3 linked regions of the Arabidopsis thaliana genome follow. The protein of the gene in region 2 interacts with the protein of the main gene of each other region in a pairwise test. Each region holds a gene or a part of one and is shown on either strand. Other genes may lie near its edges.

The links.
Region 1: the proteins of AT5G37740 (region 2) and PYL4 interact in a two-hybrid assay, tested with the Arabidopsis thaliana proteins (one study listed by BioGRID).
Region 3: the proteins of AT5G37740 (region 2) and PYL1 interact in a two-hybrid assay, tested with the Arabidopsis thaliana proteins (one study listed by BioGRID).

Annotation. Positions count from the first base shown.
Region 1 is NC_003071.7:16,048,065-16,051,905, reverse strand, and holds PYL4 (PYR1-like 4), read right to left. Parts: upstream 1,989-3,841; 5' UTR 1,656-1,988; coding exon 1,032-1,655; 3' UTR 550-1,031; downstream 1-549. UniProt on the Arabidopsis thaliana protein: Receptor for abscisic acid (ABA) required for ABA-mediated responses such as stomatal closure and germination inhibition. Inhibits the activity of group-A protein phosphatases type 2C (PP2Cs) when activated by ABA. Can be activated by both (-)-ABA and (+)-ABA.
Region 2 is NC_003076.8:14,990,340-14,994,152, reverse strand, and holds AT5G37740 (Calcium-dependent lipid-binding (CaLB domain) family protein), read right to left. Parts: upstream 2,105-3,813; 5' UTR 2,006-2,104; coding exon 1,895-2,005; intron 1,817-1,894; coding exon 1,787-1,816; intron 1,191-1,786; coding exon 1,095-1,190; intron 1,022-1,094; coding exon 722-1,021; 3' UTR 591-721; downstream 1-590. UniProt on the Arabidopsis thaliana protein: Stimulates the GTPase/ATPase activities of Obg-like ATPases. Mediates the transient calcium-dependent interaction of PYR/PYL/RCAR abscisic acid (ABA) receptors with the plasma membrane and thus regulates ABA sensitivity.
Region 3 is NC_003076.8:18,983,011-18,986,633, forward strand, and holds PYL1 (PYR1-like 1), read right to left. Parts: upstream 1,908-3,623; 5' UTR 1,719-1,907; coding exon 1,053-1,718; 3' UTR 530-1,052; downstream 1-529. UniProt on the Arabidopsis thaliana protein: Receptor for abscisic acid (ABA) required for ABA-mediated responses such as stomatal closure and germination inhibition. Inhibits the activity of group-A protein phosphatases type 2C (PP2Cs) when activated by ABA. Can be activated by both (-)-ABA and (+)-ABA.

The sequences.
Region 1 (3,841 bases), on a different chromosome or scaffold from region 2:
GTAAAAGGACATGCAACTTGCGCTTCTCTCTATTCCATATTTCTTTATTATTATACGAAATTTAATATTATATCTTTTGGATTGGGAAGAACCATAAAGAAAGGAAGTAAAAGATAAAAAAAATTGCAACTTGCATTTTCTTTATATCAAGCGGGAAAAAAAAAGAAGAAGAGAACAGCTTGGCTTGTTGGGTTATCATTCAAAGCATCGTCCACTTGCAAATTTTTATTTCTTTAAATTCATCAACATGTTCGTTTTTTATTTTTTATATTTTGACGGCCATGTTCATATTTTTGTATACATGTATGTTTTGTCCATTTTACGCAATTACCTTTAAGCCTGAAAATCCCCAACTACTCCCTATTTTCTACCAAATAGTTTATGATGACAAATAAAAACTTCAAATCTTGAATTCTCTATCAAATGTTTGATTTTTAAATAACAACTTCACGCTCAATCGGTTATTTTAATTATTATGAAATAATAAGAAAGTAAAAAGTTTGAGGACCTAGTTAAATCATAGAGGAAAGGAACACATTATATTATGCCCAAATTTAAAGTTGCCTTTAAGAAAAATCGTCGAATTTCACAAAAGCTGTTTATACGTACGTAAATTTATCTACACACATTAGATGGCCAACAACTCAATGTAACGAGTTAATATACATCCGAGTCGAACATCATATTGTACCATTTCATTTACGCTTTTTCTGATGAAACTATAGAAAAACAAGATTAATTAAACTTGAAAATCACACTTTTAATTAGCGGACAACACAACCACATTCTTTCAGTTTGAATATTATTATCTTTGGGTGGTGAAAGCCGGAATAGGGCTATCCAAATCGGTTCTTTATGGGATATGTAAAATACAAAAATTAAAAGAAGGATTATGATATGCATGAGAGATTAATTCACTAATGTAACTTTTTTTTCACACATAAGCCGAAAAAACATAGATCACACGACGGCTAAAAATCTAGAAAACGACGTCGGATCTAACGAAACTACCCGACAACGACAAAGACTCATCACAGAGACATCTTCTTCTTGCTCTCAGCCGCAGTATTCTCGGCTATTTTCGCAAGAGATTGAAGATTGCATCGTACGATAACGTCAACGAAGTCACAAGTCTCTTCCTTTGTGTTGCCTGGAGGAACATCAACGACGTAAGACTCGACAACGACGGTCCCGGAGATCGGAGAAGGGTGAAGGGTCGTTACGGATCGGTAGTTAGAGAGCCGGTGGTCACCACCAACAACGCTGAAGCTGATGACGTGGCGTTCGTCGTCGAGGATATCGAGTCTCTCGGTGGAGCTAGCGGCGGGGAGACCAGAGACGACGTGGACTTGACGGAGGCTACCAACGTTATCGCCGTCTCCGCCGATGACGCTACAGCTTTTGAGAAAGTGTTTGTAAGCTTGTGGGTTATCAAAGCGGCGTACGACGGACCAAACGGTGGAGATTGGAGCGGAGATCTCTTGAATAACGGCGGAGCAACACTGATTAGGACCAACCTCGTGTGTGTGAAAACGAGCGGCCGTGGAGTCGCGTGAGAGAGAAGGAAAACGTTTTTGAAACGACGCGATCATCATCGGAATCTGAACGGAATCTCCGTCTGATACGGCGGAAGAAGGACGGTGAACGGCAAGCATGTTGATCTGAGTAATGGTGTCTTCTTGATTTCAAATCTTGATCTCTTCTTTGAGATGGTATTAGGGCTTAGAAAAAAAACTGAGGATTGAAGAGGAAAGTGTATGGAGGAGAAGTATGTGTGTATATAAAAAGAAGCAAATCAAACTTTACAGCGACTTGCGAAAAGTTGGGCTGTGCCTTTCGATTTGAGAGAGATAGAGTTTTTAATGCAGAGTTCATGTGAGTGGTGATAACGAAAAAACCGAGCAAGTTGCTTGTTGTGAAATTACGGTTTTGCCCCTTGCTATAGTTGTTGACTTGACTGTTTTCTATACACGATATTTTTAATTGGGCAAGTGACCAATATATAATTCTCGTATATCAACACTAGAATTATAATATGGGTTTAGACTTTTAGTTTCTTGACCATAACTTTTTTCTCTTCTTCTTGAAATGACCAAGGTATATCTAGGACGAGATTCGTTTGATTGAATACGCTTTAAGAGTTTCGATATTTGGAACGATTGGAATGTAAGATCAAATTCATCAAAACATACAAAGTGAGAATTCTTTCAACTTAGAAGTTCTTCAATTGTTATTTCATAGTATGGCTAGATATATGAGTTTTCAATTGCATATATCTAGCCATACTATATATATGAGTTTTCAATTGCAAAAAAAAAAAAGGTTTTCAATTGCATCAGATGCAAATCTAGATATTTGAAGTATTCAACATCAGAGCCGAATACCACAAAACTAAAAGTGGTACAACCATATATTTAATTACCTGAGAGATTTGATGAACAAGCAGAAGGAGGAACTTTTTGAATGAAAAGTATTGTATTGCTTTTGCTTTGATATGATCTTCAATATACAAAAAAAGGAGCACACAAACAAAAGGGCATGAAAAACCAATCCTCACTAAGAAACACATTTTAAACTATACAAACTAAGGCCCAAATTGTTTTTAGAACCAAACTTTTAATTGGGCCGTATTTTGGAAAGAAAAACTGGTCTATCACAACATACTTTTGTTGTTTGGTTTGGTTACGTTGGCTATAGTATCTAGCTTCGTTATAGGTTGTCTCTTCTTCTACATTGTAACTAGTATTATAGATTTCTATTATTCTCTAGGATATTAGAGTTTACCTAAAGATGTGGAGTTGGCTGATCAGACACAACAAAACGTTCGAAGATATATTTTTGTTGCCGTCGAGGAATTCAATTTCGAGGTTGGGGAAGAATGTGTCGTCTGCCTTGAAGAATATAGCGAGTCTAGACATCCATTGGCCAAGTTGGAATGCCGTCACCGGTTCCATTTTAGCTGCATAATAATATAAACACAAAACATTTACTTGATGCTCTGTTTTCAAGCATTCTGTCTTGTTTCTTTACATTCATAACTCTGGGTTTTCAAACCTTTAACAACTCCGGACATGGACACAAACCCCATCTTAATGATAAGTCATAATACAATGCTATTAGTTCTTTATAATTGCTGTAAATTTTGAATATAAATTTTTTTGATAAGAATAGATTAATATTGTGTATTGAGCTTCACACACATCTTAATATATAAAGCAAAATTAATTCAGTTTTTGTTAACTTAAAATTATCATAAAAATCAAAAACTCGCACAAAGGACGGGTTCTAATATAGTTGATATATATGTTTTACATCTTTTCTTGCTAACATTCTACTAATATCTATATATCTACATAAAAGTACTAGAGAGAATTACCTGCAAGTGAGATTTGAGATATACACAGATGAGTGTATAATATGGTCAGCGGGTCAGGATATGTAACTTTTGTTTGATTATGGGTTTGAAAATGTGCAAATAGACAGACATTACTTCAACTAATTGAGAATAATGTTGGATCCGTATTTGTAGGAATAAAAAATAACTGTTAATTAGAGGTTGACTTCACAGTTCACAAGTCGGGTTCGGGTGTACAAGAATCTTGTCAGGTCACACCTAACTCTTATGATCGTCTCTTAGTTTTTTTTTTCTTTTTTTTTCACAGGCTTAATGGACCCTTTTGTCTAATTTGATGGCATATCTCACAAACCATCCAGTTCCATGTTTTTATAAACATGCTTTTTAAACCTTTAAAATGAAGGACACAAATTAGGATTCTCGGTGCAAAATTGCATGTGGACGTGTAGAAGCAGAAGGAAGATGGAAATTAAGTGTAAAGAAGAA
Region 2 (3,813 bases):
TCTCCGAAATAGTCAAACTCAAACTCATATTGTGTATACTAATTTGTTAAGTTTTTGTTAGCATGTTTAACATTTAGTTAGACTCGGTCAAGCTAATTAAATCTGTACATAAACATTGTAGATGAAATTTGTTATGGAATAATGAAAACGTTGATCATTTCACCAATTCTTCATCAAGCTTTATTCCTCTGTTTTCCATCTATCTTTCTAAGAATCTGATGGACTCATGATCGGCAAATACAAGTTATGTTTTATGGTTTTGGTTTTATGAATTTAGCTTAACATGATATTACTAAATCTTGTTGAGATTAGGATTTACGATTTGGTGTTTATCTTCTTTTAAGGTTTTCTGATATATGTAACCATAAGCAGAAAAATAATAATTAATAGCTAAACAGACATTTGTGTCAATTGTTCCTAAGCTCATAATTGGAACTATCAGAATCCCTAATAGTTCACAAAGAAGAGGCGAAAGATCATTGAGTCTACACAATTCACGCTAATAAGACAGGATATTTATGTAGATATCCAAATGTTTACACTTACTCCTCATGGAATTGCAAACTTTTTGGAATCAAACAAGAGAAAAAAAAAACGAAATGAGTTTATTACACAAGCCAGTTTGAGATTCTTTCATTGACCAGTTTTAAACTGCACCATAGTTCTAGTTTCTAACCATATGCACAAGGGACTAATAAAGATCGGATCGATATGATTTGACCTAAATACCCCTTGAACCCGGGACATCGATCCACTCGAGCTGTAGCTCAACCTCTCCACACTCCACGTGCTGGAGTCTAAGGAACATATTCTGGACAATCTTGCCTTGGTTCAACACAATGTGGCTTGATTCAGACAAACAATTTTTTCTGCTCGGCTCTATCTTCTTTATTATGGTCCCATTAGGAAGTCCTGGTCCGAGCTGATGGGCAAATTTAATAGCTTCAATAAATGGACCAATGTGGAACTCGGCTTCTCCCATCTTGTCATCCGCGGAGAGCAAGTCATAGTCATAAACCGTCTGCATCATAATTCCCACCGCTTATCATTCTGGTTCAGCTATCATGCTACAATATAATGTAAGGATTACTTACAAGTTTAATCGGGAGATTCGGATCAGTCACGGAAAGTGTCAAGTCGTCGTTCCACTCGGGGTTTACACTATGTTTCACCACGCGTGTTTTCAACTTCTGTATCACAATCACAAACAAAAGATTCAAGAACTAGCAAATGCTTTTGATTGATCTTAAGGTAAGTCAAAAGGCGACAACACAAGTTACAAATATTTCGTGGTGGAACCAGAAGAGATTGATGTTGACATCAAAAAATCAATGGCTTTTCACCAATATTCCAATGTTCATAAAGATCTCATGTGCAAAGGACCCACTAATATGAAACGAAGCAAAAGTCTACTTCTTCATTTACATGTATGCAAATTATAAACTATATAACTCAAACTCTATTCAGAGAAGGTATTAACTGGTTATTAATTTGGATTAGGTTAAGACAACTCATAACTAGTACTATTCAGACATATACCAAATCAAAAGTCAGAGACTTCACATTTAGCTTGTAAAGATTAGGTATAACTAAATATGTGATGTCAACCCTCAAAAACTGCCTCCAATCCATTATTGATAACCAAATTTTTAATCAAATTTCTAGTTAGTTTTGAGATCTACAAAAAGAATCAATAATCCACTGTCAAATTATAAAAGACCTCATTGAGTTTCACTACATAGACTCATCAATAATCTTATCTCTTTTATAATAAAAGTTTTACTACCGACCAACAGTTCAATAAACGCATCAGATTCTACTAGATGCATAACCAGATTTATTCTAAGATGCAAAACAGAATTGGCTAAAATGGAAGAGAATAAATTTTTGGTACCTGTTTACCGCAGTGAACGACGATGTAAGGATCACTGCTTGAGATGTCTCTAATGGCGAGATTCACACCTCTTTTCACATGAATTCGAAGAAGACCTACAAGATTCTCCATTGTTTGTTTTTCTTTTTGTTTTTTTCTCTCGTAGAAAGTTTGTTGGAGTGGGTGTGATGATGAGAGACTTGGAGAATTCGGACAGCTCTGATGAGGTTTTGTGACTTTTGTCTATTTTCTTATATAGATACGGAACTGATTTTATCTTCTTTATTTTTCCGAGGATGGATATATTGTAGACTTTTCTGCCTCGAGCCACCTCTGTCTCTTTTTTACTTTAATTGTTTACCATTTCTAAAAAGACATGTAAAACAAAATAGATTATTGGAAAACAAGAAATTAAGTGAACAATACAAAAATAATAATAGAGGAACACAAAAAATACAAAACAAACGTTGAGAAACCGAAGAGATTCTAACTAATTTTAATAATTTTTCTAAATCATATGCTTCATCCTTTTTATTAAATTGTGGAGGTTGAAGATGTTGTACTATATTTTTCTAAAGTTACAAATTCTTACAATCATTTGTTTCTTTTTCTTTTAATTTAAAATATTGTATTGTCCAAATTTGTCTTACTCGTTTTTAGAGAGTGTTATGTTAATTCATTAGCTGGTTAATTTTTTTTTTAATAAGAATTCTGACCTACTTTGCCTCTTAAAAATTTATGATTTTTTATATGATATGTTTTTGTTTTGTTGTTTGGTGTTTTTTCCTCTTATTTATTATAATTGAGTTGAGAAAAAAAAAACTAGTACTTTTAGTTTTGGATTAGATGGCAATAGGTCGTGTAAAGGTTTTTAGGGAATTTAAATGTTAGTTTGAATTAGAAAACCAAATGTTAAAACTGTATTATCCGGGGGAGGTGACGGATTAGTCAATTTCTATGGGTATTTTACCGACTATTTAAATAATTTTTGTCGTATTCAATTGACCAATACACTCAATTATTCGTCTCGATGATGCAGCTAATTAGAAAGTTAGTATTTAATTACGCAATTAATTTTTAATTACGGGCACATGTCACGCCAAATTTGGATTTGACCAGCAAATTAGAGTTTGAAGACTTTAATTCTTTTTTCCTTAACTATAAACAAAGGTCTGGTACGTATTTGATTTCCATCACCATAACTATAAACAAAGGAGTATGATTTTGTTGCGCGAAAATTTATTTTTTCTAGCCTTCCAAAATTTTCATGCAACTAACCAAAAGTGGCAGTGTAAATTGGTAATAAATCAGTATAATTAGAAACAATCATTGACTAAAAAACTATACACAATATTACAATATATTATGGACCAAAAGTTATTGTATTTTATAAGATTTCCAAAATTTCATGCAACTAATAAAATTAGGATTAATTATAGAAAAACCATAATAAAGTATGGTCTATTATGAATTTAGCCATATTCTCGAGTGATTATAAAGACGGATATTTTTGTTTTTTCTAAAATATTAATTTGCCTTTATTATTTTTTCTTCTTTAAAATTTTAATTGGGTCTTGAGATATAATTTTGACGAAAATGACTTAAGATTTGCTCATGATTCACAATCATATACTTTTCAGTTATTGCATACATGATTGTTCTGAGTTCTTTAGACATTATCTTTTACGGTTAAGATGATTCGATCCGCATCTATAATTAGAGAATTTGGGTTCTATAACATCATCTCTTAGAGCTTAGATATCTTACATCAAAACTTGTTTAATTAGTTCTATTGGATTCATCGAAAAAGGTTGGTCGTATAAACGTTGTGTGAATCATCGAAGCATAAGGAAACGATATTGATGGAGTCGAAAATAATGATTTTGATGGAATGTAGAGTCGGTGTTAATAAACAAATTTGATTATCACGACGGAGAGAA
Region 3 (3,623 bases), 4.0 Mb from region 2:
TGGAGTCTCTAATAATCGGGAAAAAGAAATCGAGTACAGTTTATTTTTGTTGGTCAGGCACTTAGCCACTCAGGCTCATCAGACAAAGCGATGACCATAACATAATTATAATTAGGTGTATTGACAAAAAAAAAAAGAAAAAAAAAGGAGGATCATAATTAGATGTAAAAAATGGTGAGCTCTCTCCAAATTTTAAAATGAAAAATAAAAGAGTTCAAATTATAATGGGCTTTTTCGTCGTTCAAAGCCCTTTCCCCTTCAACAGTAATTAGTTTTTGAACGTAATAATGTTACTGGAGCGCGAAAACTTAAGCAAAATTAGCACAAAAATACAAAAATTAAATTTTACAACGAAATTGTAAATAAAAAAATAAAAAAAATTATTGAACAAAAAAAAAACTAATGCAACGGTTTTTTTTTTTAGGTTTTTTTTTTTGTCATTAACGCTAGAAAACAAATAATTTTGCGAATTTACGAATTGCCAAAATTGACTTATAAATACTGCCAATTTTCAGACATTAAGCTTTTATTCGTTTTATTATGAAAAGTTACTACACACAACACTATATTAAAACATACGCTATAAATAAATATGTATCGAAGAACAAAAAAAATATCATTATTTTTCCATCTGACCTAGAAATCTATTCCATGCATATATCATTTCAAATACAAAAATTGAATAAAACAAGAATACTAATAACCTACAAAATAGTACAATCTACACAACAGTTAAAGAAAACTAACTACTATAATTAGTATGTTATCATTCCTGTATAATTTATCTTGTCAACCAATTGAATAAACGAACTACTATAATTAGTATGTTATCATTCCTAATTCTATGATATAACAAGTATGTTATTAAATTTAACCTATCTCGACCATTCCAATTATCCAGGAGACTGATTTTTTTTAAAAAATAAAACATAACCATAAAATCAAACAAGGAAATTACAATTCAAGAGAAGAAAAAAAACGTTTTACAAATCAAAATAAAAATTAAAACTCCCCCAATTTAGAAACATTTTTCTTTCCCCCAAATTTCATCATTACCTAACCTGAGAAGAGTTGTTGTTGTTGTTGTTCCGGTTCATAGCTTCAGTGATCGAAGCAAGTTTCTGAAGATTCAATCTAATAACCGTATCAGCAAACAATCTCGTATCTTCCTCCGAATTACCTTCCGGTACATCAACAACATAAGATTCCAAAACAACGGTCCAGATCCTTTCTTCTTCTTCTTCTTTCTCAAATCTATGAACCGTCGTAACCGATTTATAATTCCTCAGCCTATGTTCACCACCGGTTATACTAAACCCAGTCACTCTCCGATCATCGTCCAACAGATCTAATCTCTCTCGAGACGTATTCGCCGGTAATCCACTTATCACGTTCACGTCGCGCGTGCATCCCACTCGCATCTCGAAATCTTCACTCACGTTACAGCTTTTGATGAAGTGTTTGTAAATCTGTGGCCTATCGAAACGTCTCACCACGGACCATACTGTTTCCGGCGGCGCGTGGATTCGCTGAGCTAGGAGAGATGAGCAACGGCCGTTACCGAGTTGGTACGTGTGGAACTCGGCGATTGATTGGGAGAGTTGGGTGAATTCGTCTTGAGTTAAATCGGAAGGCATGGTTTGGTGATGGAGTGTTGAGATTCTCTGGCTGTTCTCTTCTTCGTTTACTGGTGAGGAGGAGGACTCTGAATTCGCCATTGATATTGTTTGTTGAAACTTGAAAGAGAGAAGTTGAAAATTTGAAGGAAGAAGAAAGAGAAGAAGGGTATATTTGGAATTTAATAGACTTGAGTTTTTTTTAATGGCTATCACATAAATGTCATTAGGCACTGAATCTTTCTACTTTTAGTTGATAATTACTATATTTGTAGACACGTACATCAAAATTAGTAACTATTACAAATTTACGTAATATTTTTGTAGATTCTAAAATAATACTACAAAAAAAATATATATCCGTTCATTATAATAGATGGAATTATTTTGCTGAATTCGAAAAATCTGATTTAATTTAATGAACAATAACACACAGTTTAGTTAGACTTATCATATTATTCATCCATCTATATTCTGATTGAAATGTATAAACTATATAGTTAAAATTATATATATATGATACTAATTAAAAATATCTTGAACGAGTTAAACTATATAGTTAAAATTAGAATAACTCATTTTATCATATTCTTCATGAATTCCTACTATTTTATATTAATCATCACTTTGGTAAATATATTACAAATGAAATTGGTCAACTCGTAATAGAAATGCAATTAAATTATAAAATAAAAAATTATTTACGGGAGTTGAATTATTTTTTTGTTGGCAACCGTAGAAATTTTGATTAGATGCTCAAATATAGAATCATTATTTATTCGAATGCATTTAAAGGTTAGCCATTAGCCTTTGTTCGTGAAGCTATTATAAGCCTATACCTATATTACTTATCTTAATCTATAACTCCCAATTTCTCTCGAAACTAAATAATTGTAAAGATTAAAACAATTTTCAGTTACATAAAAAAAATATACTTGTAAAGATTAAAACATTTTACTTGTACTAGAGAATTTTTATCAAGTGATAATTAAATGTGAGCAACTGAGCATGAAGCCTCCGTGTCATATACTTACTAGTTTTGGCCATGTTTATTTATCTGCAACCGAAATGGGCAAATTACTTTTTTCTCTTATCACCTTGACTTTTGTTTTTTCTATTAAAATTATTTTTAATATTATGGCTGTGAATGGTGACTGCGTTTTGCGGTACGCAAAAAGTGCGGTGCGGTTCAAATAGTAATGAAAATCAGCACTGTTGCGATACGGTTTTAAGTGCGGTTTTGGTCACCATTCACAGCCTATAAATCATTATACTTTTGTCCAAAAAAAAATATAAAAAATCATTACAGTAAATAGTTTATTTTTTGTTACAAAGATATAATTGGGTACGTAAGAAGTAGAATCCAAGAGATACGGTAGGTACAAGTTATAAATCATAAAAAGTAGTCTCCAGCTGTTTTTTTTGGCGTCTTGTAGACATTTAATTTTTATGTCAAGTATATACTTGCACATTGCACTTGTATATCAAATTTGATGATTATAACAATGATTTAGTTAAATATCCAGAGTGTAAAATTATATTGCTAAACACTATACCTAAACGATTTTTCTATAAAATTTTATCATTACGCTAAATTAATTTTTTCAAAATTTTAAATGAAAAGGACAATAGTGCTCTCAAACTGGTATGATTAAATTTTCCTAAAGTTAAAGTTAGAAAATAATTAATATATTTATGAATAGATAGATTGCTATATATATTCTTTAGCATTATAGAGATAATAAAAGTATCAAAAAGTCCATTTGGTGGAATAATATTGATTCTGATCATTGCGAATTTTTTTATTCTAAAAGGCTTGAAAGAATTTTCAAATATAATATTTTCAAGAATCCACTCACCATGTTATAATGGAATGTACATTGATTAAAAAAAAAAAGAGTAGTGGAATATACAGTGAGTGATACATATCTCTACATCCACACATTTGCATTTTTTTGGAGAGTGGTTGCTTTAATAGTCCAGCCTAAAATTTAGTATAACAACAGA